Linked DNA regions of Drosophila melanogaster. Changing the gene in region 1 together with any one later gene gives a genetic interaction. Each region holds a gene or a part of one and is shown on either strand. Other genes may lie near its edges.

Evidence for each region.
Region 2: of Sema2a (region 1) and Kr, changing one enhances a phenotype caused by changing the other (phenotypic enhancement), as found in Drosophila melanogaster (one study listed by BioGRID).
Region 3: of Sema2a (region 1) and kay, changing one enhances a phenotype caused by changing the other (phenotypic enhancement), as found in Drosophila melanogaster (one study listed by BioGRID).
Region 4: of Sema2a (region 1) and Dg, changing one enhances a phenotype caused by changing the other (phenotypic enhancement), as found in Drosophila melanogaster (one study listed by BioGRID).

Annotation. Positions count from the first base shown.
Region 1 is NT_033778.4:16,514,597-16,519,166, forward strand, and holds the start of Sema2a (semaphorin 2a), read left to right. Parts: upstream 1-1,553; 5' UTR 1,554-1,674; intron 1,675-1,857; exon of another isoform or gene 1,858-1,937; intron 1,938-2,323; exon of another isoform or gene 2,324-2,422; 5' UTR 2,423-2,579; coding exon 2,580-2,745; intron 2,746-4,570. UniProt on the Drosophila melanogaster protein: Ligand for transmembrane receptor PlexB. Plays a role in growth cone guidance. Required for both proper adult behavior and survival. Can function as a selective target-derived signal that inhibits the formation of specific synaptic terminal arbors.
Region 2 is NT_033778.4:25,225,085-25,231,931, reverse strand, and holds Kr (kruppel), read right to left. Parts: upstream 5,322-6,847; 5' UTR 4,981-5,321; coding exon 4,944-4,980; intron 4,571-4,943; coding exon 3,099-4,570; 3' UTR 538-3,098; downstream 1-537. UniProt on the Drosophila melanogaster protein: Krueppel is a gap class segmentation protein. It is involved in the segmentation of the embryo and in the differentiation of the Malpighian tubules.
Region 3 is NT_033777.3:29,787,296-29,794,653, forward strand, and holds kay (kayak), read left to right. Parts: upstream 1-1,640; 5' UTR 1,641-2,857; coding exon 2,858-3,559; intron 3,560-4,097; coding exon 4,098-4,425; intron 4,426-4,491; coding exon 4,492-5,729; 3' UTR 5,730-6,818; downstream 6,819-7,358. Other genes in the region: sro (shroud), read left to right, coding at 7,341-7,358. UniProt on the Drosophila melanogaster protein: Developmentally regulated transcription factor AP-1 binds and recognizes the enhancer DNA sequence: 5'-TGA[CG]TCA-3'. May play a role in the function or determination of a particular subset of cells in the developing embryo.
Region 4 is NT_033778.4:16,095,557-16,100,113, reverse strand, and holds the start of Dg (dystroglycan), read left to right. Parts: upstream 1-1,549; 5' UTR 1,550-1,986; intron 1,987-4,557. Other genes in the region: CG8414 (uncharacterized protein), read left to right, coding at 1-420, 479-744; mRpL34 (mitochondrial ribosomal protein L34), read right to left, coding at 813-1,035, 1,099-1,121.

The DNA.
Region 1 (4,570 bases):
GACCGCAACTAAAGGATTCCGAGATGAAGAAAGCGAAAGAACTAAACAAAACACATCCCATCTTTTTCCCACACATACATACGTGTGCGAGTATGTGCTACGTGTGAGTGCGTTGTGCCTTTGTTTGTGTACGTGTTGGGGCATACGCGCTGTGCAAAGTGCGCTAAATTAAGCTGTCATTAAGGACTTAATTAAAGTCCTTTGTTGAAAGTTGACATTGTGTGAAAGAAACGTTTGCGAAAACAAATGACAATGGCGACGTTGTCGCTGCTGCACTTGAAAGGCTATCCCCCGAAAAAGGGAAAAAAACCCAAAAATGGCAACCAACATCAAAGCAACTACAAAGCGGCAACAACAATGCGGGCTAGAACGAGAGTGAGTGTGAGAGAGGGAGAGGCAATGAAATAGAGGGATAGAGTGAGTGAACATGTGTCAAAAATTTTCAACAGTATCATGATGCAAGTGCTCCTTTGGTCGCACGGTCGGGTGCGAGGGGGACGACTAGTGTGGTGATTCTGCGAAAACTCATTAGCAGGCAAACAGAGAGAAAAGGCCAGGCAGACACAATCAACCAGTGGCGTGCGCAAGGATTTCTTGTGGGGGTTAGCCAATGATTGCGATCAAAATTATTAAATTTTAGTTGGAAACGTTTGCACTATATTATAAGTTTCTTACCTTTTTTTTCTTTGATGGTCACGTACCACCTGAGCTGATCAGTGCCTCAAACAATCATCATTAACATCTCAGCTGAATAATTGAATAAACTACAGCCCCTACGCCACTGATGGAAACGAAAGCACGCACAGGTGGCACCCGTACAATAGAAAATATCAAGGAGATGCGAAAACATAACCGACTTGCTTTTTAATTAAATATTTTGCCAAGCAGACACTCAAATGCCAGAGACACTAGCAAACTGCGTTTAATTGCCGCTCGAGGCTGCTAAATGCAAGGATTCGTCTGCATACCTGCCATCCATCCATCCATCCTGCCGCCCGTTTTGTGTGTGTCTGGGTTGGCAAATGTTTGCCTATTGCCAAAATTGTCGTTGTCCTTGTTGTCCTTGCTAAAAATCACTTTGCCGCTTCCGCACGGTGAAGTACGAAAATTGAATACCGCCATTCTGCAACGGCATTTTGTGGCAAGGAGCAAGGATTATATCGACAAATGAAAATCCACGACGCTCCACGAATATTAAACAAAGTTTTGTGTCAACAGTTTTTACCTTTTCTTAAGAATAATTTAAGAAATAGTTAAAATCGGCTTGAATACGTCAAAGAAAATATTATATTATATATTAACTAACTTAAAAAGCAAGCGCATTGTAAACAGACAAAAATAAGAAAGCATATTTCAAAGTTAGCCAAAATAAAATCTAAAACTTCTGATATAAAGAGAAAAAGTTATGCAAATTATATATATTTTAAATATTATTTTCAAACACGATCACCATTGTTGGTATATACCAAAAACCCAAACGCGTGACTGCGATAGTCATTCGACTTAAACGCGCTAGCGTTTTTCTCACATCTGCGCGATCGGAGCGATCGTGCGTTGTTGTTGTTTTCTCACTTCTACTTGTTGTCGGTTGTTCTTTTGTGTTTGGTGTTTCCGCTCGAGATTCTTGGGCATTTTACCAGTGTTCCCTTTCGTGGCGGAACTTGTTTCGCATCGGTAAAATATCTGAAATGCATTAGGCTTGCAACTATCTAATTGGCGTTTTGCAGTTCATTCAATTCGGAGTTCGATTTTCGAAATTCCAATAAACCGAAACTCCCAACAACAACTCAAGTGTGTATCTCTGGCTTTGTTGTTGCGTATGTGTGTGTGTGTGAGTGCGTGAGCAAGTTTGTGTGCGTGTGGGTTAAAGGCAAATTTTAAACTGAAAGCAAGGAAATATTTGCAGATTCATCATTTATTTATTGATGCAGTGCCTTGTAAATAGTATAAACTTTAAGAAACGCGCTCGTTCACCTTCCTTGTCTCTTTCCCACTCTCCAGCGTTGAGGAATTTTCATTGTTTCCCAATATTGTTGCTTTTTTTTTTGTTTTTCCGATGCGTGGGCATATAATAAACCAGTTTAACGTTTCCTTTTGCCTTTATCTTCATATCGCACATGCTTTCCGATGGCTAAATGCGTTGAAATCGAATTGAAAACCGAATTGAACACAGAACTGTGTAAAATGCATTACGCCTTTATGCGCCTGCAACGCATACATAATTAATCCGAAACGAAATTGGCACTACGACTGCGGGTCCAAAAAAAAAACATATATATATAAGGAGAAAAAAATAGCAGAGGGGTGCTATAAATCGCCCAAGGAAAGAAGTTTATTTTAAAATCCATTTGCCAGTGAAATCAATTCCATTGCAATTGCCGCAAAAGTGTGTAAAAATAATACAAGTTAAATGTGTTAACAGTTATTCGTGGGAAAAAACGTGCCGGTTTTTATTCATCAAACGGTAAAATCAACAAGCAACCGCCTCTCGCTCGCTCTTGCACTTTAATCCAATTGAGGTTGGTGGGGTCGCATTCGGCCCCCGGTCGACCACCCCTCTCGCTCGCACCGCCCTCGCAATGTCGCTTCTACAGCTATCGCCGCTCCTCGCACTCCTGCTACTCCTCTGCAGTAGTGTGAGCGAGACAGCTGCGGACTACGAGAACACCTGGAACTTCTACTACGAGCGTCCCTGTTGCACTGGAAACGATCAGGGGAACAACAATTACGGGAAACACGGCGCAGGTAACTAGCCAACTAACGGTATAAAAAGGGGCGGGAACACGGATTAAAACACACTTGTAAAATAAATTTTCACTTTTTGTGCCCTTTTTTCGAGGGGCTTTAAAAATTAAAAAAAATGTTAACAAAATCTTTTACTAGTTCACATTTCTTCGTAAAAACTATGTGAAATGTATGTTAATGTTCGTTACACTTAAAACTTAAGAATGAAAACATTATTTAAAACGCTATTTTACAACTTGATCATAACTTAAGTATGTATGAAAAAAATGAATTAAAATTGTTTCGCATTACTTATATTTTGTACAGGGTACTTAAATCGTCGGCTTACACGAATAAGACAGCTTTTTCCCCTTTTTTAACTGCGGCCAATATTATTTTTCAATCTTTCAGGCAACAACAAATTTGTAATTTATTTGCCATAATATTCGCACATGTTCTTTGTGCCTTTATTATTTATCTCGTTTGGTTCGATTTCAATTGCAACTATATTTTTTCGTTTCGGTTTGGGCCATTTTCCATTTCTGGCTCGGAGCATTGTGATTGTTGTTGTTTTTTATAATTTGCATATTAATGCGGTGCATTCATAGTGAATATTGCTGGTCCGCGCAATTGTGAATTGTTGCTATTCATATGCATATTTCATGTTTAAACAAATACCAATAATGTAATCATATTTTAACCATATGCAGTCCTATAATCCACAGAGATAAATCCTGAATGATATATAATTGACTGGGTTCCCTTAATCCCCCCCTCCCCTACCACTCTAGAAAAATGTGAATGCTTTACCATTTAAATGTTCAATCTACCTAGATTTTCCGCTGTATTTTTTTACAAGCCCTCTGTTTCGTAGACTTGGCCAGCTTTATTGAGTCATTAAAGCCTAAAAGTATTTAAAATTCATCTACGAGCGGCCACAAACAGGTTATTCACTTCTCTATGTCTAAGCCATGTTGGATTTTGCCAATAATTTTGGCCAGCATTCATTTATCATCGTGCGGTTGATTGAAAAGTTCCCCAGCATACATTGAATGTGGCTAGAGAACAGCAAAAAGCCATCAAGTATCAAGAACGCAGAAAATGTTGTATAAAAAATTTAAATCTCATTTAGCCAGGCTGGCCAAACAACAACAACAACAACAGCAATCCGGGTCAAGACCAGTAAACATTTTCTAATAGTCCACGTTCCGGAATGCCTGGCATGCCGTCCCCCTTGTCTCCACTATATCTTTAACTATAAGCCATAAGTGCAGCATAAAACTTCACGTGCCGACAACAACTTTTTGGTCCTTGCCGCATGTTGCGCTGTAAACTCAATAGCTAAGCACTTGCCCTAAAGGAAAACGTGAGACGATTAGGGAATCGTTCAAGCTGCTTGCGCATACTTTTCCGGGAGTTATATAGCAAAATCTATATGGGATAAGTCCGAAATGCATGCAGAAGGAGCTACAAAGTTCGAAGGTTGGACATTTGCACCAGATGCACTATATAAACCGATCGGCGGGCCATAAATTAAGGTAAAACCAACTAAACCACAAAAGCCACCGAACTGAATAACAACAAAACTCTAAAATGTCAACTATAAATTCCCCCGTTGATGCGGAATATTTATTGCATGTTTTTTTTTATCTTCTTCTTCTTTTACCCGTCTGTAAATGAAAAAGCACTATTTTCATTGATTTAAATGAAATTAATTGCACTTTATTTTAGGGTAGTACAAAATTTATGCCTCTCTATGGCATTTGTGAGTACCAATGCGGCCGCAACGTCCTCTGTCGCCACCTCGGCCACTTCAATTGGTTGACTCAGCGGTTTGACAGATGTT
Region 2 (6,847 bases), 8.7 Mb from region 1:
TACTTTTAGGGAGCTTATAATAATGTCTTTCTTGGATAAGCGCCAGTCTTAGAATTTGTGAGCAGAAGTCTGCTGGTAAAAATTATAATTTTTCAGTTTAAATAATAACGACAGTAAGTTGGGTGCGTCGGCGGTTCTTTGCCAGCGAAGGCCTTAAATTCATTTTCAAGGCCTTTTATTTTTCATTCCTTTGCGGAACACGAAATATTTAAAAAAATCGTAAACTCATTTGAAAGTTTTCTATGTCCAACACCAAACTATTTACTCGGCAGCTAAAAAAAAAGCTTTTGAGGGTGAGGATTGGGGGTTCGAATAAGATATACGTACCTATCTACACTATAAAACTGGCAATTACCAGTTTATTCCCGTTTCTTCTTTTAACTTATTTATAATAAGCTTTTATTGGTAAAATTAGGGTAAACAGTTTTAGCATAAGGTTTATTTGGCTAACATTACGTTTAACTTTTTAATTATTGAATTGTTTTTATTTACGTATACGCTCATAGAGTATGTTTACAGAAGTCTAAGCGAAAAAAGCCTAAAATGCTAATAAGCATCACAAAACGTGAGCATTTGTCCTGCGTCTCACTCTTTTACTCCGTTTTATATATGTACGTGTGTAAGTACATAAGACGTTCTTTATGTAATACTTGTACATACAATTTTATATAGAGGGGGCTGCCAGGATGAAGCCTTTTTTGGCTGTTGAAAGGGGCACAAAGAAGAGAAGGCGTCAGTTCCGCGGCATGGCTGAACGGGAGGCGATTGGTATGAGTGGGTGGCGTCGACTTTCTTTCATAGCATTGTAGATGTTTGCTCTCTCTCTCTGGAGATTAAATGGAAAAAACACTGTGACATTTTCTGACTGCGCGGCGCGATTTTTATATTCGTTTTTGCTCAGCTGCTGCCGTTGCCTGCAGACGTAAATTTAAATTCCAGTGAAGGGATGGATGAATAAAGGGGGTGACGTGGGGAGGAACGTGGCGACGGCATTAGTGGGGCGTCTTGTGGCAAATGTAAAATAATGCGAAAGGGCTTCGTTTGCATAAATTAAAAATTTATGTAATGCTGCCCGTTTTCTCTTTTACGAAAAATCGAAGAAAGCTGTGGGTAATTTTCTAAAGCGGGGTTGCTACGAATATTTTTTGCTTTACACAATTATCTCATATGTATATACATATATATACATATATATATTTATATTCATTTATTTTTGGTTTCCCAGACAGCAATTTTTAAATTTAACATAATATATTTCGATTTTTATGTAATAAATACATATTTGCCGATGTATACATATGTATTTATTATTGATATAGGTAGAACATTAAATTAGAGAAGAAATAGTTATGACAAAAAGTAACAGTTTCGTTTACTATATGCTAGACTGACATATCTAATGCAATCATGTACCATAAAATACATTTTCTAGTTTATATTTACTGACGTATTTTACAAGGTGTATGTGTGTATGTCTTTAAAGGGTTAAAATTAGCAACCCCCTAATTAACACATATAACTCTTATTTTTTGATACATTGCACATCCCTAGCCACAATTAGGATTATAATTTATTTACATAAAAATTGACTTGTGATTTTATAAATTTAATTATATCTATTGGGTTAAACGTCGAATGTTGCTGTACACAATTAATATGATGTCTTTCGTGCGCTGACTTTCAAATGATTAGAAATGCACTCTCTATTTTAGTTTATAGCTCTTGTATTCTTTTAATCTTGAGGAACTTGTATACCATACATTTGAATGAACAAAGAAAATTACATATTAATTTGTTACATTATTATGACTACAACGTTTTAAAATAAAAGCAGTAAGCTTACCAATGAATAGAACGAAAAATTGCACTAAATTTATTTCAAATTGTTATTGTTATATACAACCTTATATACTTTTATATGTAATTTGAATTGGCCTAGTATTTAAAATTAATTTCTTATTTTAGGTCCATTTAAATATGCATCAAAATTTTAATACATATAAATTGTTTATGCTTCGTAGTTTATATTCCTAAGTCTTGTATATAAATTCAGTTGAATTGTACGATTGCCAAATTGTTGAATGTATATACTGTTTAGCTCACAACAATTTCGATACAGAGGTATTGGAGGTATTTGGTTATAGCAATTTCTTCCTGTGTATTTGGTTCAAGTCTTACAATTAAAACTAATAGTTACGAGTGTTAAGATAAGTGGGATTACTATACTTTCGATACGCATTGATCTACATTAGGTTATTATTTTGGAATATATATTAACGTTTCTTATAGTTTGCAACAAAAAAAAAAAGATTTTCAAAAATGGATGCGTAAACTGTGTTTAAGTTATGGCAATATGAAATAAAAGCGGAATCAGTTAAATATTAACGTTACCATTGATTTTCTTTTTTCTTTATTGTTTATATTTGAAGCAGCAACAATTAAACCAAATATTTATTGAAGTATAAATATAAAAGTGTACATTTAAGAATGATCTTTAAAAAAACAGGATTAACTAAATTTTTATATTTAATAATAGTTTTAAATAGAGAATGCAAACAGAACAATTATCAAACAAATGTTTTTTATTATTTAACTTAAAGTTAGTTTTGATTTGAAGATTATTGGCATTGTTTTCTTAAAGAATTTGATTAAATTATAAAAAATTAAGCTAATAAATTAAATAAAATTAGTTATAGATTTCCTAATTAAACTTCGTGTCTTTTATTTTTCTGCAACAATGCATGTTTAGAGCGCCGATTACTTTACAATTGGCAGCTGTGTAAGCTGAATATGTACAATTTAAGATTCCGAACCTAAGAATATAACTTAAATTTAAGGTAAAGAATGGCACGACATTTTCGATTTGATTTGGTGGGGTTTGGCGGTAACAAGCATACGGTATGGCTTACTTTGTACAATTTCGACTTTTTTGTATGTTATTTTTTTTTAAACTTGTACTTATCATTATATTCCTGTTGCAACAATTTTTACTTTCCACTTTGAAATAGCAAAATTTTCAATTTTGTGTTAATAAATGCCAGTCAATTTCATCAAATGAAAACTGATTAGGGCTATGTACAATTCGGTGTGGTACTGGCCTAATGTTGTTGATGGCCCATATAAGAAGCCGGGGCATCATCTAAATCATACAAGTCAATATCATCGGTTTGCTCGTGAGATCCGATAGAGCGAGGAGAGTGCATGCTCAAATCCTCTGGCTCGGTTTGCTCAGGCATATCACTGGGTACGTGAGGGATTTGCGGTGGAGGCAGCCGGAAAACCCGACGAATGTCCTGTGCCTTGCGCCGTGCGATGTTGCTGCAATGGCCATCCACAGAGCTGGCTCCATCTTCAGACAAATCCAATGGACCATCGTCCTCCGGTGTCGCTTTTTCCATGTCGACCGACTCATTCGAACCTCCGTAGGTGGCACACATTGCCGCAAATCTATTCGTGGATGCCTCGATAGCAATTGCGGAGATTGCCACGGGGTAATCTCCACTCATGGCCGGTGAAAGCGCGGGAGTAGGCGGCGACTGGATGCCACACTTGTGATTCATCAGATGGTGGCGCCGTCGGAACTTCATGTGACACCGTTCGCACTCGAACGGCTTTTCACCGTTGTGTACCAGCATGTGGGACTTAAGCTGATTGGAGTCACTGAATTTGCCATCGCAGATTTCACAAGTATAGGGACGCTCTCCAGTGTGGACTCGCAAATGTCGTCTAAGATTGGCCACCTGAACGAATTGACGATCGCAGTGCGAGCAATGATATGGTTTTTCTCCAGTATGCAAACGCATGTGGGTTTTTAAGTGATGGTCACGAGTAAACCGCTTGTGGCACTCCGGACATTCGAAAGGCTTCTCACCGGTGTGGGTGCGTTCGTGGTTCTGAAGCACGTGCTTATAGCCAAAGCTGCGTGAGCAGATTTTACAGGTGAAGCTTTTGTCGCGAGATGGATCCTTGGAGACACCGACACATCCAGCATTTCCACCCGCTCCGTCGTGCGTTGAATTAGGAGAGCTGCCACTGGAAGGCGGAGATATTGGGCCTCCCGATGTATGGTACATATCGTTTACACTCATGCTGATCTCGGTCTGAAACTCCTTCTTAACCGATAACTTTCGAGCCTTCTTCGCTGGCTCATGGTGCTGGGGAGTGCTGTTGGGGGAATTTAATGGGTGCTTGCCACTACCTAAAGGAGTGGACAGCGGCGAGTGCGGGCTGGCTGGCGGCGAATGTAAATGCGTACCCTGGGGCGGGAGCGACTGTTGGGCAGCCCAAGCCCCAAACAAAGCCGCCGGATTGTGTGGAAAGAGAGTGTTGGCCAATGTGCTCATGGGCAGTTGGGCCATGAATGCGGCAGCTTGACGGTTTGCAGCCAGAAGTTGGGTAGGTGAGAGCATTCCAAAAGCTGAGGCAGCGGCCGCCTGTTGGAGACCCATAGCTGGATAAATCGCAGCGGCGCTTGTAGCTGATGTGTTGGCCGACATGGGGGGCGATAGCGACATGGAACGGTCTAGATGAACGTCCTCTTGTTTTATGCCAGCTAATGCAGCAGCTAAGGCTAAAAAAAAAATCATAAGTTAGTATGTTTTCATTTGGAAATGTCTTAAGAGCAACGGCTTAAAAGAGAAAAAAATTTTACATATGATACATGTGTGAGAGAAAGTTTCGTACGGAGAGAACTCTTAGTGTTTTCGCAGCTCTCTATTTTCGTCTAACTAGTTTTTGTTTTGGTCGATAACGAGTTAAGTGCCGGTTCCTGTCCAAACATGTAAACAAATTCTAACTAATCGGTATGTGTGCAATTACATTACATTTGTATTTTCTATCCTAAAGACATCGGACTGTTTAATAATGAGAAAGTGATCGGGGACTCTAGAACTTCTAGATAGTTTACAAACTTGGGGAATATTTTAATTTGGTCTAATACTTACTTCGCGTTTGTGCGTCTTGAAGCATTGATATGGACATCAACAAATTCTTCTTGTGCTCCTAATTTTGTGCTCGCGCAATGTTTTCCCGCACACAGAAAACACCTATAATATTCGCCTTCGTGGTTTTGGAGCTTCAGTTTTTTAGACAACAAAATTTCATTTGAGCAATTTGTGCACTTTCAGGGATATGAATAATTTTTGTACACACTTTTGTACTTTGAGGTAGAGAGATTTCACAAAAATTGTCTTTTATAAAAGTTTACCGATTTAGCAAAATGAGGTAGTTGAAATTTGATTCGATTATATTACTCGCGGTTGTGTGTGGCACAACAAATGGTTGTTCCTTTCGCTGACAGAGCCAAATCACGACTGATACAAATTCGCTGCGTGAGCTAACTATAAGTACGCTCTGTCTCGGCGAAAGATTCTCACTCACCCTCGTACGCACACACGCCGGGACTCAATTGGCTCTCCCGCTCACACGCACGCAAATAAGGGTGCAGACAGGAAGGGAAATCATCACGGCGAAAGCGAAAAACGATCCCCAAGCCTGAGCAGGTAAAGTAAAAACTGGGTACTTCGCTGAGTTGAGTGAGTTGATTTCATCGATTCCTTTTTATACCTAAAAGTGCTAATTTTTCATATGCAAATTGGTGCGAATGAGACAGCTAGAGGTTCCTTTCAATGCAAAAGATATATAGTCAGTTAGAGTCAAATATGGACGATGTGGTTTTTTAACATAGGTTGTCGATGCGAATTATCTTCGCTGAGTAGAGGGTTTTATGACCTTTACGTTTCTAGTCAGTAATAAAACATAAAAAATCAGAACTATGTGTTGACCGTTAAAGGACATTTTTTAATGCTTATGACCACTTCCGCTTGTGTTTTTTAGAGCCTTCATAAAAACTGCACTTGCAGGAATATTACACCACATAAAGATCACGTAGAAGTTTTTAGAGTTAGTAAGGGACGCACAACAAAAACTCACTCAGATGTGCCTTTGTCATTTCCCCTTTTTACATTTGAGCTATAGAAAATAACTAATGTGTCTAAGGGGGATGAACGCCAATGGAGAACAGGGCGAAAATGAAACAGCGAGAGCAAAAGAGCCAAAATTCATGAAAAGAGATGTCACGGACGGGGTTGAATTTCAAGCGTGCGCTGTACGAGTAAACAGGAAGTAAACAAAACATCGGCTTAAGGAGTGCAGAAAGTAAGAAAGAAGGTCGACGGTTTTTTACCAGCTATACTGAGTGAGTTTTTTGTCTTCCTTGTAGCCTGTTGAGCAAAGTCTCAAAGACGTGGAAGTTCAGTTTAATGGACAACTAATTATTGGCACACGTCTAAAAAAGAAATCGTAAAAAGGAACTAGTAAAAAACGGATTCAGGTAGAAAGGAAATATAATAAAAAATTGTAAGAGAGCTGCATCGTTGAAATTTTCTTGCTTGTATAGACGTTTTCTGTGACTTTTGCGGATTGACTTTTAAATGGTTTTATGTAGATTTTTATGGCAAGGACATGCTATGTTAAATTTATGTTGAAAATCGGTATTTTTGGTTTTGTAGGTAGGCCAAGGACGCTCAGAGCTCACCGGGTGGTAAATTTGAACTACCGTGGATTTTAAGAAAGTGAAACCAAACAAAAGCAGAAAGGCACACAAATATCCTTGCTCTGCATAATGTTACGTAAAATTATAATGGTTTTGTCATCGAATGTTCGACTTCATAGAAAGTTTTTCACCAAAACAAAATTCGCAGAAGGCATTAAATAATATGCAAGCAAAGCGCTTAAAACTGACCCTATTGATAAGAAATTCTTAAATTTCGGGCTGAGCTGACCGGTTTTAGAAAATCTTCATACGATTCCTATGTTTCGGCGATTAGTCAGAAATTTTTTTTGGTTG
Region 3 (7,358 bases), on another chromosome or scaffold:
AATTTCTTAGCCACTCAACTTGTTGCATCTTCACCTTCCTCCTCTGCCCAGCGTTTAAAAACATGTGAATGTGTTTTTGAACTAATTAGAGCCAAGGTCAAAGTTGATGGTCTAATCAAAATGATAGCGCGGATTTACAGGCAATTGATAAGTTTGAGTTTTCAGGGAATTCCTTTGGGAAGTGGCAATTTTTAGGTTTTGAAATATTTTTGTAAGTTGCAGTCACCATACATTTATTTAGGGGCCACTTTGGTTTGGCTTGAACCGCCCGCAAATCAAATTTGCAGCAGTCGCGTGTATTAGTCAGCAATTTGTTGCTTTTCGCTACGTCAGTGTTTTACTTTTTCTTTTTTTTTTTTACTCTCCACTGCTGGCTGTTCGATGTTCGCTGCTCGTTTCATTTGGTTCATAATTGACCCCCAGATGTGAACTCGGTGTCCGGAGATATGACTCTGTCCAACGTTCCGATAGGAGAATCGAGATCGCCATCCGAGCTGGCTGGCAAGCAATTTAGACAATTCAATTCGCCGCGCTTGATTGCCAGCATTCTATATCATCACTTGTTTTGCATACGTACATTTTCCAAATTGACTGATTCATCATCGGCTAAATGCGGTTCATGTTCGCGAGGGACAAGTTCAAATGGCAAAAAAGTGGGTTAAAACGAAAGTAGCCAGCCAAACAAAGGTGGCCAAACAGCCAAGGCGGCCGAGTTGAAAGTAAATTTCGCATACGAAATTAAAAAGTAAATATATCACAAAGAATAAAATCGATTGTTTGCTGTCAATAAGGGAACGGCCTTTGGGATTGGGAAACACGGCTGCGATAAGATCGTCAAATAAATAAGCACACAAGCCGCTCGAACTCGCTGCACGGAGAGAAAAGAAGGCATACTACTTCAAAAATGTAGCCCCAGTGCAACTGGTATGTGTGTGTGTGTGTGTTGCTCTTAGCCCACAACAAAAGCCAGCAATTAGCGTATTGGCCAACTTGCTGGCGACGGAAATAAACGCTCTTGGCGAGACAGGGGGTCTGAACTGAACTGAACTGAACTGAAAACATAGTTAATGTGGATGTGCCACACGCACACACCTGTTCGTGGGACATCTGTCGAATCGGACATGTGTATATATGTATGTAGCTTATGTTTACTCGGAATCATCGCTTTTGGCCAAAACATTGGGCCTGATTTATGGGCAACTGAAAGGCTTTTCCGTGGAAGCGAAGAATGAGCCTCTGGCAAGTTCGGCAAATCGGAAGCAGAAGCATATACATATGTACATAAGCCACCACCACATTCTACTATAGCTAACTAAATGTACATATTTCGCTTTGAATGCGGCAAAAGCGAGCGTGGTCGTCGTGTGGGCAGCCGCTCAATTAAGAGCAGCCAGCGTTTAGGATCATTTGATTTCCCAGCGGCTGTCTTCTAATTTGAGCAGCCAGCTCGCACAACACACGCCCAGCAGACAGCAGACAGCTCTCCGGATTCGGATGCGGGTTCGGGTTCTCTAGTAGTTCTCAAGATATATAAATATATATATGATATGTATATATATACATATATATGCATACATCTGCGGCGATCTCTCGATCGCGATCGTTGCCAATTTCGCTCGCCGGAGATTCTGATGCGATTCAGTCGCAAACGAACAACGAACCATCGAAGTTTAGAAAATATCTAACAATTAAAAGCGATCGCGCGCGCGCTTTTCCTCGAATCGCATCGCATCGAATCGAAACGCGAAACTCAAACAACGAAACGAAAATAAATTTGGAAAACTGCAATTGTCGTTGGGTTTTCGGTGCGCGTGCATTGCCAAAACGAATCAGGAGCAAAAAAAACGAATCAGTCGGCTATATGTACATATATACATATAGACGCAAAACAACGCACATTTCTCGGCTGCAAGCGCGTGGATCGAAATATATATGCCATACGAATATACATATATATATATATATATATGTAAATATAGCCAAACCCAGAAATAAAAGCGCAAAGGGAGGCATAACACTCGCTGTGTTGAGAGGCGTTGCCCATGGCCGAGGAATTTCTGAATACAACAAATGCAGCATTAATTGAACTAGCTCAAGGCTCCATGTCCGTGTAAATCTCTATAATTATATAATAATCGAATTTGCGGCTCACACAGTGGAGCGACTTAAACTGGACACGTGTCGCTGGATTTTGGGCCTCGCACACTTACGATAAACTGCGTCGATTATGAGCGCTTTCGCCGAGCGGAATGTGCGTTTCAATCCTTTGCGAAATCAGCAAACGCTTATCGTTAAGCGGCTGAGACCGCCGGAGAGCCAAAACTTCAAGAACTGAGCAATCGAACAACGAACATATACGAAATCTGCTCACGGCTCGCAGCTAGCAAGAAGTCAAATCAAACGAACCCTTTTTCTTTATTAGGAAAGAGCCAACGCAGAAAGCAAACGAAATACACAATACACACAAAAAAAAGAAGCTATGAAACAAAGCCAAAAACGAACGAATTTCTAAGCAACTAGAACAACACTGCGACAACAAACAGCATAGGAGCATCCAAACGAACGGAATTATAAAGACAAGAAAGGATCATCAGCACATTGTTAGGAAACTTTGGGAACAGAGTCCCAATTTGTACATATACTCTAGTTTAGCTAGTAACTAGATTCTTAGATTGTTGAATTGTTTTTGTTGATTTTGAATACAATTCGCATATATCATTGTTGTCCCAATTGTTGTGTTAGCTTAGCTAGGCTAAGAACCCCAACGAATACTAGTCAGCCGCCCAACTGTGCGTATACGCAACGCGAGTGCGTATACTTAATATTTAGGTTTAGATCGATAAGCAGCGAACAAATGATGAAAAATCTCAACGGTAGGACGCACAATGCGTGCTACCATCCCTACTACCACCAATCGCTGCATTTTGCTCAGCAGCAGCAGCAGCAGCAGCAGCATCATCTGCAGCAACAGCAGCAACATATGCAGCAGCAGCAGCAGCAACAGCAAGCGCCGCAGCAACAGTTGCGTCATCAGCAACGGCAACTGCCCACGCAGCCAGCCTACCAGCAATCGCAATCGGTTGCCCACAATGCTTTTCCACTGCGCAGCAGCAGCAACAATTATGGCCATGTTGCTAGCAGCGCCTACGCTGCCAGCAGCGGCAGTCACAACAGCAACAATGCGGCTGCCATGGCCGCCGTCTGCCAAATGCAGAATTTTTTCAACCAGCAACAGCAGCAGCAGCAGCAACTGGAGTTCAACAACAATTGCATGCCCATTAATTACTACCAGCAGCAGCAGCAGCAACATTACCCTTCCGAGTCCCAGTCCTCCGCCTCCGGCTGGAATCCCGAAACCCCTGGGCAGGCGCAACTCGCCTTGACGGCCACAACATGCAACACCACTGCAGCTGCAACATGCAACACCACTGCAGCTGCAACAACGAGCACAACTGCAACATCTGCTGCCGCTGGCAGCGACAACAACCACAGCGACAACTTTGCAATGGACGCCAGTGAGATAGCCACTTTCCTCGCCAACGAGCTTTTCCTACAGCAGGTACCACAGATCGATCGATGATGATGCCTCCGATTCTGGTCGAGATTGGGATAGATTTGGGCGCGAAACAATTGGCAAGCGGCATGCGTACTTAATCATCGCCGAAAATAGAACAAATGCGGAACAACAAAGGGGTGGGCAAATATAAACAAAGTGATGGATTGGCCGCCTCTCTTTCGGTTTCTTCATCTCTCTTCGCCTCTTTTTTTTTCGTTTTTTGTTTGGCCAAAAACACGTTCGCTAATTCGCTAGAAATGTACGGATAAGCAAGAGGTCTTACAGACTTAGCAATAGCTTTTGATGTTGACTGATATCTGAACTCGACCCAAATTACTCATGTGATAAGAATAAATTCCCAAACATCCTTAAGCTATTCGCGGGCAACACTGCGTATGCGTGATATATGTATACTGATATGGCATTGTAGAGGGTTTCGTGCTTGTCATGAGCTTTAATGAGCGTTAATAGTAATCCATCTTCTCAGATACTTGCACTCATAGATGTCTTTACTAATCATGCACCTTTTCTGCTCTTGCAGCTCGGCAACTTTGAGACCGGCCAGAGTGTTCTCACACTGACGACGCCCACGTTGACGCCGACCACCACGCGCAACATCGAGGACACACTGGGCCACTTGCTCTCGGACACGCAGACCGATCGTGTGGCTGGTTGCGCGGGATTTGCAGTGCCAAAGGTGCTACCCAATGCCATTGATGTCCTGGGCATGGGTATTCCCACCGGTGTTTCGTCGCTCCCACTTCAGCAGACATTCGATTTGAGCCTGGGGCAGGGCAGCGAGTCCGAGGACTCCAACGCTTCGTACAACGATACGCAGATGAACGAGGAGCAGGACACGACCGATACTTGTAAGTGAAGCTGGCACGAATTGCTCCGAATGTCTACTAACTCCCTTTTATTTCATACGCCTGCAGCAAGTGCCCATACGGACAGCACCTCGTACCAAGCTGGCCACATCATGGCGGGCAGCGTGAACGGCGGCGGTGTCAACAACTTCTCCAATGTCCTGGCCGCCGTGAGCTCTAGCCGCGGATCGGCGTCGGTGGGCAGCAGCAACGCGAATACCTCAAATACGCCGGCTCGTCGTGGCGGTGGCAGACGCCCCAACCGGTCGACGAACATGACCCCGGAGGAGGAGCAGAAGCGGGCCGTGCGCCGGGAGCGGAACAAACAGGCGGCGGCCCGTTGCCGCAAGAGGCGCGTGGACCAGACCAACGAGCTCACCGAGGAGGTGGAGCAGCTGGAGAAGCGGGGCGAGAGCATGCGCAAGGAGATCGAGGTGCTGACGAATAGCAAGAATCAGCTGGAGTACCTTCTGGCCACCCACCGGGCCACCTGCCAAAAGATTCGCTCCGACATGCTGAGCGTGGTCACCTGCAACGGTCTGATTGCCCCGGCCGGACTCCTGAGTGCAGGGAGCAGCGGCAGCGGCGCGAGCAGCCATCACAACCACAACAGCAACGACAGCAGCAACGGCACGATTACGGGCATGGACGCCACGCTGAACTCCACCGGGAGGAGCAATTCACCCTTGGATCTCAAGCCGGCGGCGAACATCGATAGCCTGCTGATGCACATCAAGGACGAGCCACTCGATGGCGCCATCGACTCAGGATCCAGCCTGGACCAGGACGGTCCGCCGCCCAGCAAGCGCATCACCTTGCCGCCCATGTCCACGATGCCGCACGTTCACTTGTCCACGATATTAACGCCCACCGGCGCCTCGTCGGGATCTCTGCAGACGCCGATCACGAGCACGGCGCCCGGCGGATTCGGCAGCGCCTTCCCGGTGACCTCCAACGGCAGCAGCATCAACAACATCAACAGCATCGGCAACAACATGAACTCTCCCACGCTGAATGCGCATAACAAGGTGCCTAAGGAGCGGCCCAATACGCTGGCTTTCCAGCGTCCTCTGGGCCAGATGCACCTCACCATGGCCAACAACAAGGCGGGTGGGCCCACGCAGATCCAGGGCGTGCCCATCCAGACGCCCTCGACCGGCACCTTCAACTTCGACTCCCTGATGGACGGCGGCACTGGGCTAACGCCCGTCTCCGGACCCCTCGTACCGAACAGCTCCTCCACGAACAAGCACCCGCTGGAGCTGCCCACGCCCACCGCCGAGCCGTCCAAGCTGGTCAGCTTATAACCGGACCGGATCTGGGACGGGGATGGGGGCCGAGTCAGGATTAAGTTAAGTTTTATATAGTTGGCAGGCAAACAACGGAAGGAAACCGCGAAGCACTTTTCTAGTTGTAGGAGATGTTTTCATTTTTGTAATATGCTGTAATATGCGTAAACGTGACGAATGTGTTGTTTCGTTAACTCTAATGTTTTTGTATTATTATCTTTATTATGGTTAATTTATGATTTCGCTATGTCTTTTACATACGCCGAGGAGCTATGTACATATGTTATGTACTTGTAATTTGTGCAATTTTCAAACCTCTTCATTGCGCGTTGTATATTTTCAAAAAATATAAGAACGCGAACGCGAACGCGAACGACCGACGATGCATGATGAGAATGATAAGGATAATGATGATAATAGGGCGTGTAGATTTGCAGGATGCGTTGTGATATTTATTATAAAACGAATACAAAAGATGCGAGGATGAAACAAAGTAGAAAGCAAACAGGAGCGTCTAATGAAAGGAACTAAGCCGGTTTTAAAATTGTACATTTAAACGAATCGTAAAGCGTAAATATACTATAAAACAAAACAAAGTGAATATATATTCAGCATACAAACTAAATACAATGCCTTGAGAGAGAATTAAGAAATGCAAACCTTTATATATAGAGATCTACATACATATATGTATGCATGTACATTTAAAGCTAAACAATAATGGCGTTGAAGCGAGTTTTATATTGAGCAAAAGCAAATGTGAAATGAGATAAATATACTTATTGTGTACTCTGTAAGCTGCAGTAGAAACCAAAATATATTTTTACTAAACGCAACATTGCGCTATTTTCAAATACCATTTATAAGAAATGACAAAAGCAAAGCAATTATTTAATATGTAATTATGTATTATGTATACCTATATCTACCTACCCACAACCTTAAATCAAAAAACCCAAAACGATTCAACAAAAGCTGATCAGGTAAAGCAACTCTCGCCAGTTTCCACACTAAATTCTCAGAATATTCAAAATTTTAATCTATACAAAACCAAACCGATTGATAGCAAATAAATGCACTTATAAGGGCAGAAAAACACCAAAATTTAAAAATGAAATGGAATAAAATAGAAATAAAAAGACCGACAAAACCTAAAGACGATTTGTGGAATTATTTCTGAAGTTATAGCGATTCACATGACTTGCAAATGGGCTGGCTCGTCGTCAGGTAAACATATCAGGTAGATTAGGGTGGACCAACAAAGGCTGCATTCTCAATTTCTGCAGACTTCTTCAAGCGATTTGAAGTACTTACTTATGGAAGTAAACCTCATTGAGAAAATGGCTCTAATGTGAAAATGCGATCATTCAAGTTATGAAAACATTATGAGATAGAAACACCTAGTTGCTGCCATAAAGACCAGTCTGAAGGGCAGGTAAACGCAGCCGTGTTCTTCCACTCGTCTGATAATGGCACAAACGAGTATATATGTACATACAACACACGCTGCATATATTCATTTTCGGGTTTGCCTTATTTTGCATTTTTTTTTGTTTTTTTTGGGATCTGTTGCTTTCGGTGCAGCCACGAATCGCGGATCTCTGTTTCAGTTACTCGAGAAGCGGCGATATGAGCGGCAGTCAACTT
Region 4 (4,557 bases), 420 kb from region 1:
ATCTTGTACAGATTGCCAGTCCCATTCCAATCAATAACTTTGATTCTGTCCTCGACCGGAACAGTCTGTCGCAGATAAAACCAATTATATACTCTGCGGAGGAGTTCAAGATCAATGAAATACCAAAATACACACTCCATAAGCTGATAAGTGCAGTGCCTGCAAGGGAAAAAGGAACTTGGAGTCTCAGCGCCAAGGACATGCGGTACTCCAATCTTCTGGCACGTCTCAGTTCCTGCCTGACTGGAAATGCCAAATCTCTTACAGACTGCCAGCCGTTGGGAGTGTCTTTGGAATCCCTGAAAATCCTGCATCCCACCAGCAAGAATTACTCGCGCGAAGAACTGATTCGAGGCATGGAGGCTAATGTAGTATATCTGTGCCATCACGGAGCAGGTCTGCCCCAATGTTTGGGAATAGGTTTGTACACATTCACGTTCTTTTGTGGCTTATTAATTGAATTCCAAAATTCTTTTAGGTGTGGTTCGCGCCATCGACTACGAGCGCAAGGAGTTATACCTGGTGCCAGCAATGCCGCTACAAAAGATGTCCCTGGTGGATTGTCTTATCCTCGGCGGGGAACAGTCCCTGCCGCAGGGCTTCCTTCGGGATCAGGGCCAAGGTGTGTCCAGCAGTGTGCCCTTCGTGTTCATCCTTGACGATTCGAAATCTTCGAAGAGTATTCAGCAGATCTACCATCGAGCGCCAGCCTTTCTGGGAGTACCAGCGAATCAACGAAACTAAAACTGAGCTTACTGTAGCAATCGCAATCGGATAACATTGTAAATAAAGTTAGGTTTATTAACACAAGGCTAGTGTGACAAATTGTGACGTCCTTTGAGGATCCGGTTCATCAGCACTCGTCGTCCCTCAGGCGTCGACATCCTAGCATTCCAGCCGTGGACATTAATTCTCTTCACCTCCATGGGTTTCGGAAAATGGCAGCGTACTTTCGGTTTCAGCACCGCCCGGTTGAAAGCGTGCTTATCCCGCACGATTAGAGTTTGTGCGGTGCTGACAACCGCCAGGCAGGTCCTGCAATGCCAATGTATGTTATTATACCACTCAAAATAAATGGTATATTCATTATTTACTCGCCTTTGGAGCATTCCTTGCAGCATGTTAAGTAATTTCCAGTTAGTATGACCGCATGAAGTCCGAATAATACCGCCTGAACAGCCGGTAAGCCGCTTTGGCGTTGCCAGACCATTGGGTTCGAAATTTCGAACTTAGCTGCATGCTATTTTACGTTAGCATGTAAAATGCATTACATATAGATGGAATCATACAATTAATCTAAAAAATCGTCATAATATTGGTCAAATGGAAAACCACCATATGGGGACAAATTAGATAAACCGCTTTTAATTGAATGGATCTGAAAGTAACCGAAAACTTTTTAAATATGGAATGAATATGTTTGGTTGTACATATATCGAATTGGTATTGTGCCATCTCTAGCTACCCACGATGGTTGTGGCAGCGCAGCTGTTGCAAATGAATCCACAAGATACATTTCGGTATATTTTCCGCAACGGATTCTTTTCCACCCTCAGTTGCGGTCACACTGCCTAGCCAACAACAACCACAACTCGGTGCCGTTAGGGCTGCGTTTGTTTTCTGCTCCCATTCAGCTGCATAGAAAAGAAAGAAAAGTGAAAAGTGTTCGGAAAACAGGCAGCATGTGAAGCATAATTACTCCACGGAATTACTATCTCAAACGAAATAGTTGTCGCCGAAAAGAAGTGCGTAAAATCGCGAGTGAGCTCGTGAAAATAGAATAAAAAAGCGCTCTGCAATTGAAGAGAAACATTGCTGCAGTCGTGTGTACGTGCGTGTGTTTGTGCGTGCGAGTGTGAGTGTCGCTCTCTGGACGCAATTTCTTTGGCCAAAAGAGTGGGGAAGTGGGGCAGGAGAGTCCCGAATCGAATCCCCGAAACAGGCAATCCGAATCCGAATCCGGTGCATTAAAAATAGCGCAACGAGGTGAGTAAAGATGCAAACTGCAGCATTCAGTTCACGAGCTGATGCCAACAAAAAGAACTCCAATTAGCCATGTCTGCAGCCAGCCAAAAAAATAATGAAGAACGGCAGAAAAAATACAACAAGAAAATCGATTTTCCTGAACTTACAATTTTCTCCGCCTCACTGGGCAAAAGGGGGGGCGAAATGGAGCTTGGGGAGCCGGCTACGGCTCCATAAAGTATACATAAATTGAATTTCGAAACACGGAAGCGAAATGGATGCACTGGACGAAATAATGAATAAATTATTTTGATATCGAAAAGTTATTCTCGTTAGAAAAAGTTTCGCTGAGGGTCTCGAACGCAGTCTGTTTTTATAAAAGCATATTATTTAGCCTTATCAAGCAAGAGGATGAATAAAATTGCATTAAAATGTATTTCGACTAAATTTCGACTTGCTATACTTTATTTCTCTGCGTGTAAAAGGGGGCAGGAGGCTGCACACGGCTGTTGTTCTTGTTTTGTTTGCTGGTGTGGATGATGATGGAAATACTTGCATATGTGTGTGCGTTCTGCACAGAGGGAGATGTAAAAATTGAAAAATCTGACCAGAAGCAGGACCCTCCGACTTTTGGTCCAGTTGTCATGGCCACCGCACTTAACAAATGATTTTAGCGGCCACTTTTTCCCGGATGCGAATGGGGCAGCTGTCACTCCGTTTGCCTCCTCCTCCTTTTCTCCTTTTTCTGATTTCATCTGTCTGCCCCTTTCTATCTTGCTCTCTCCCCGTGTTCTCCAACGTGTGTGTGTGTGTGTGCGTATTTTGATGACGGCACTCAGTTTCCGCCCGCACTGTGATTTTTGGCCATACACGGCACCAATGTTTCAGTACAGTGGAACCTGGTGCGCAGGAACCAAATGAAGTTAAGTTTAAAACTGCATTTACTGCGACCATTTATGAAATTTTTTAAATGAGTTACATTTCAGGTTCTTCTAGATTTGTTTTAATGTGAGTAAACAATTTCTGCTTTAAAACGTAAAACTCACATGTACATAATATACAATTGTTGGCAAAGCAATAAAAACTTATTACTACCATAAAAATAAATAGGTCGACATTTTCAGACGCAAGAACGCATAGAATGTGTGAACAATACGTACAATAGCTTATTGACACAATATTTAGCATTCAGCGGATTAACTCATCAACGTTGGTTTTTGATTGAATGTGTTATATTATCTATTTATGTACATATTATATTATATAATATTTCGGCATAGGCTTTAACTAACTTTATGCTTGCCACTGTTTAAACTGGCTTGGTTTATCATACGTTTTTCCCAATTCGCGAGTGCCTACTGTAGAAAATCCCCGGCATTACCACTCAGTTTTCGGCACTCTTTTGCGGATGCTGCGTACGCAAAAAGGGGACGTCGGCTGTTCTAAGAGGACTAGATGTTTCCTTTTCACTTCCGCCAGCACCCCTAAATTACGTGTCTCTGTGTGAGTGTCTCTGCACGTGTGTGTGTTGCGTGCAAGTGTGTTTGTGTGTGTGGGCCAACAAAATTACTTTTACGAGCATTTAGCATAGGTTGTTGTCCCTTCGCCCATTTCCCCGGTTTCCCTTCGCCACCAGTTAGTTTTATTTTGATGCGTTTTTAATCAGATTGCGTCAATTTGTTGCTGGCCCAACGATGAGGGCGGTCCCGGTGGAGGGGGGGGGCGTTGGGATTGTCCTATTAGCGCTTGTGTGGGAGTGAGCGACCATTTCCCGGGTTGCGTGTCAAGTGCAGACCCTTTTTTCGCCCGCTTTTTTCACTAATTATAAGAATGTCTGTTTTGGCCTCGCATCTGGATGATGGCTCGTCATTGGGCTTACATTCTCGCTTTTGATGACTCAAAACTTAACTTTTCACTTTTGCAGTTCTCTTTGTGGCACCCACGCAATTAATTGGATTGATAGATTGAAAGCCTTTTGTTTTTAATTTTAGCAAATTAAATGCAAGAATAATACTTAAATGATTATATAGATATAAACTTTGAAATTTGATTATGATAATATGATAATATGAAAACAACTTGTGCTGAAGGAGAGACAGCCGAAGTTTAGGCACCAATTTGCCAGCAAAAGATAACAAGAATTCATTGAATTATGTTTGTTTTAACCAGTTAGGTTATGCATTCTTATGTAAAGTTTACCTTTTCTATAAACTGTAACTGATGTTAAATTTCATTTTTTGTATTCGTTAGTTAGTTAGTAAGGGGATCAACACTTCGTTGTTCAGTCGCCTTGTTTTTCTTAGTACCAATTCTTTTTGCTTTGCGCTTCTCCGTGGCCCGTTAAAGTACAGAAATACTTGGCCAGGCCGGCCGGAGTGCGAGTATCGTATCTATCATGGCGGCAGCTGTCCAATTCTCCAACCAGCCGGCACTGGATCGCTGTTTGTTGTTGTTGCTCTTGTATCTGCTGTCTGTCGTCTTCATCAACGCCTTAGTATCTGTGTTCGCTTGCTTATTTATTTGTGTGCGAGAGTGAGTAAGTGGCGCTGTGTGTGTTGTTGGCTTGAACTTTATGGCATTGCGTTGTTTTAT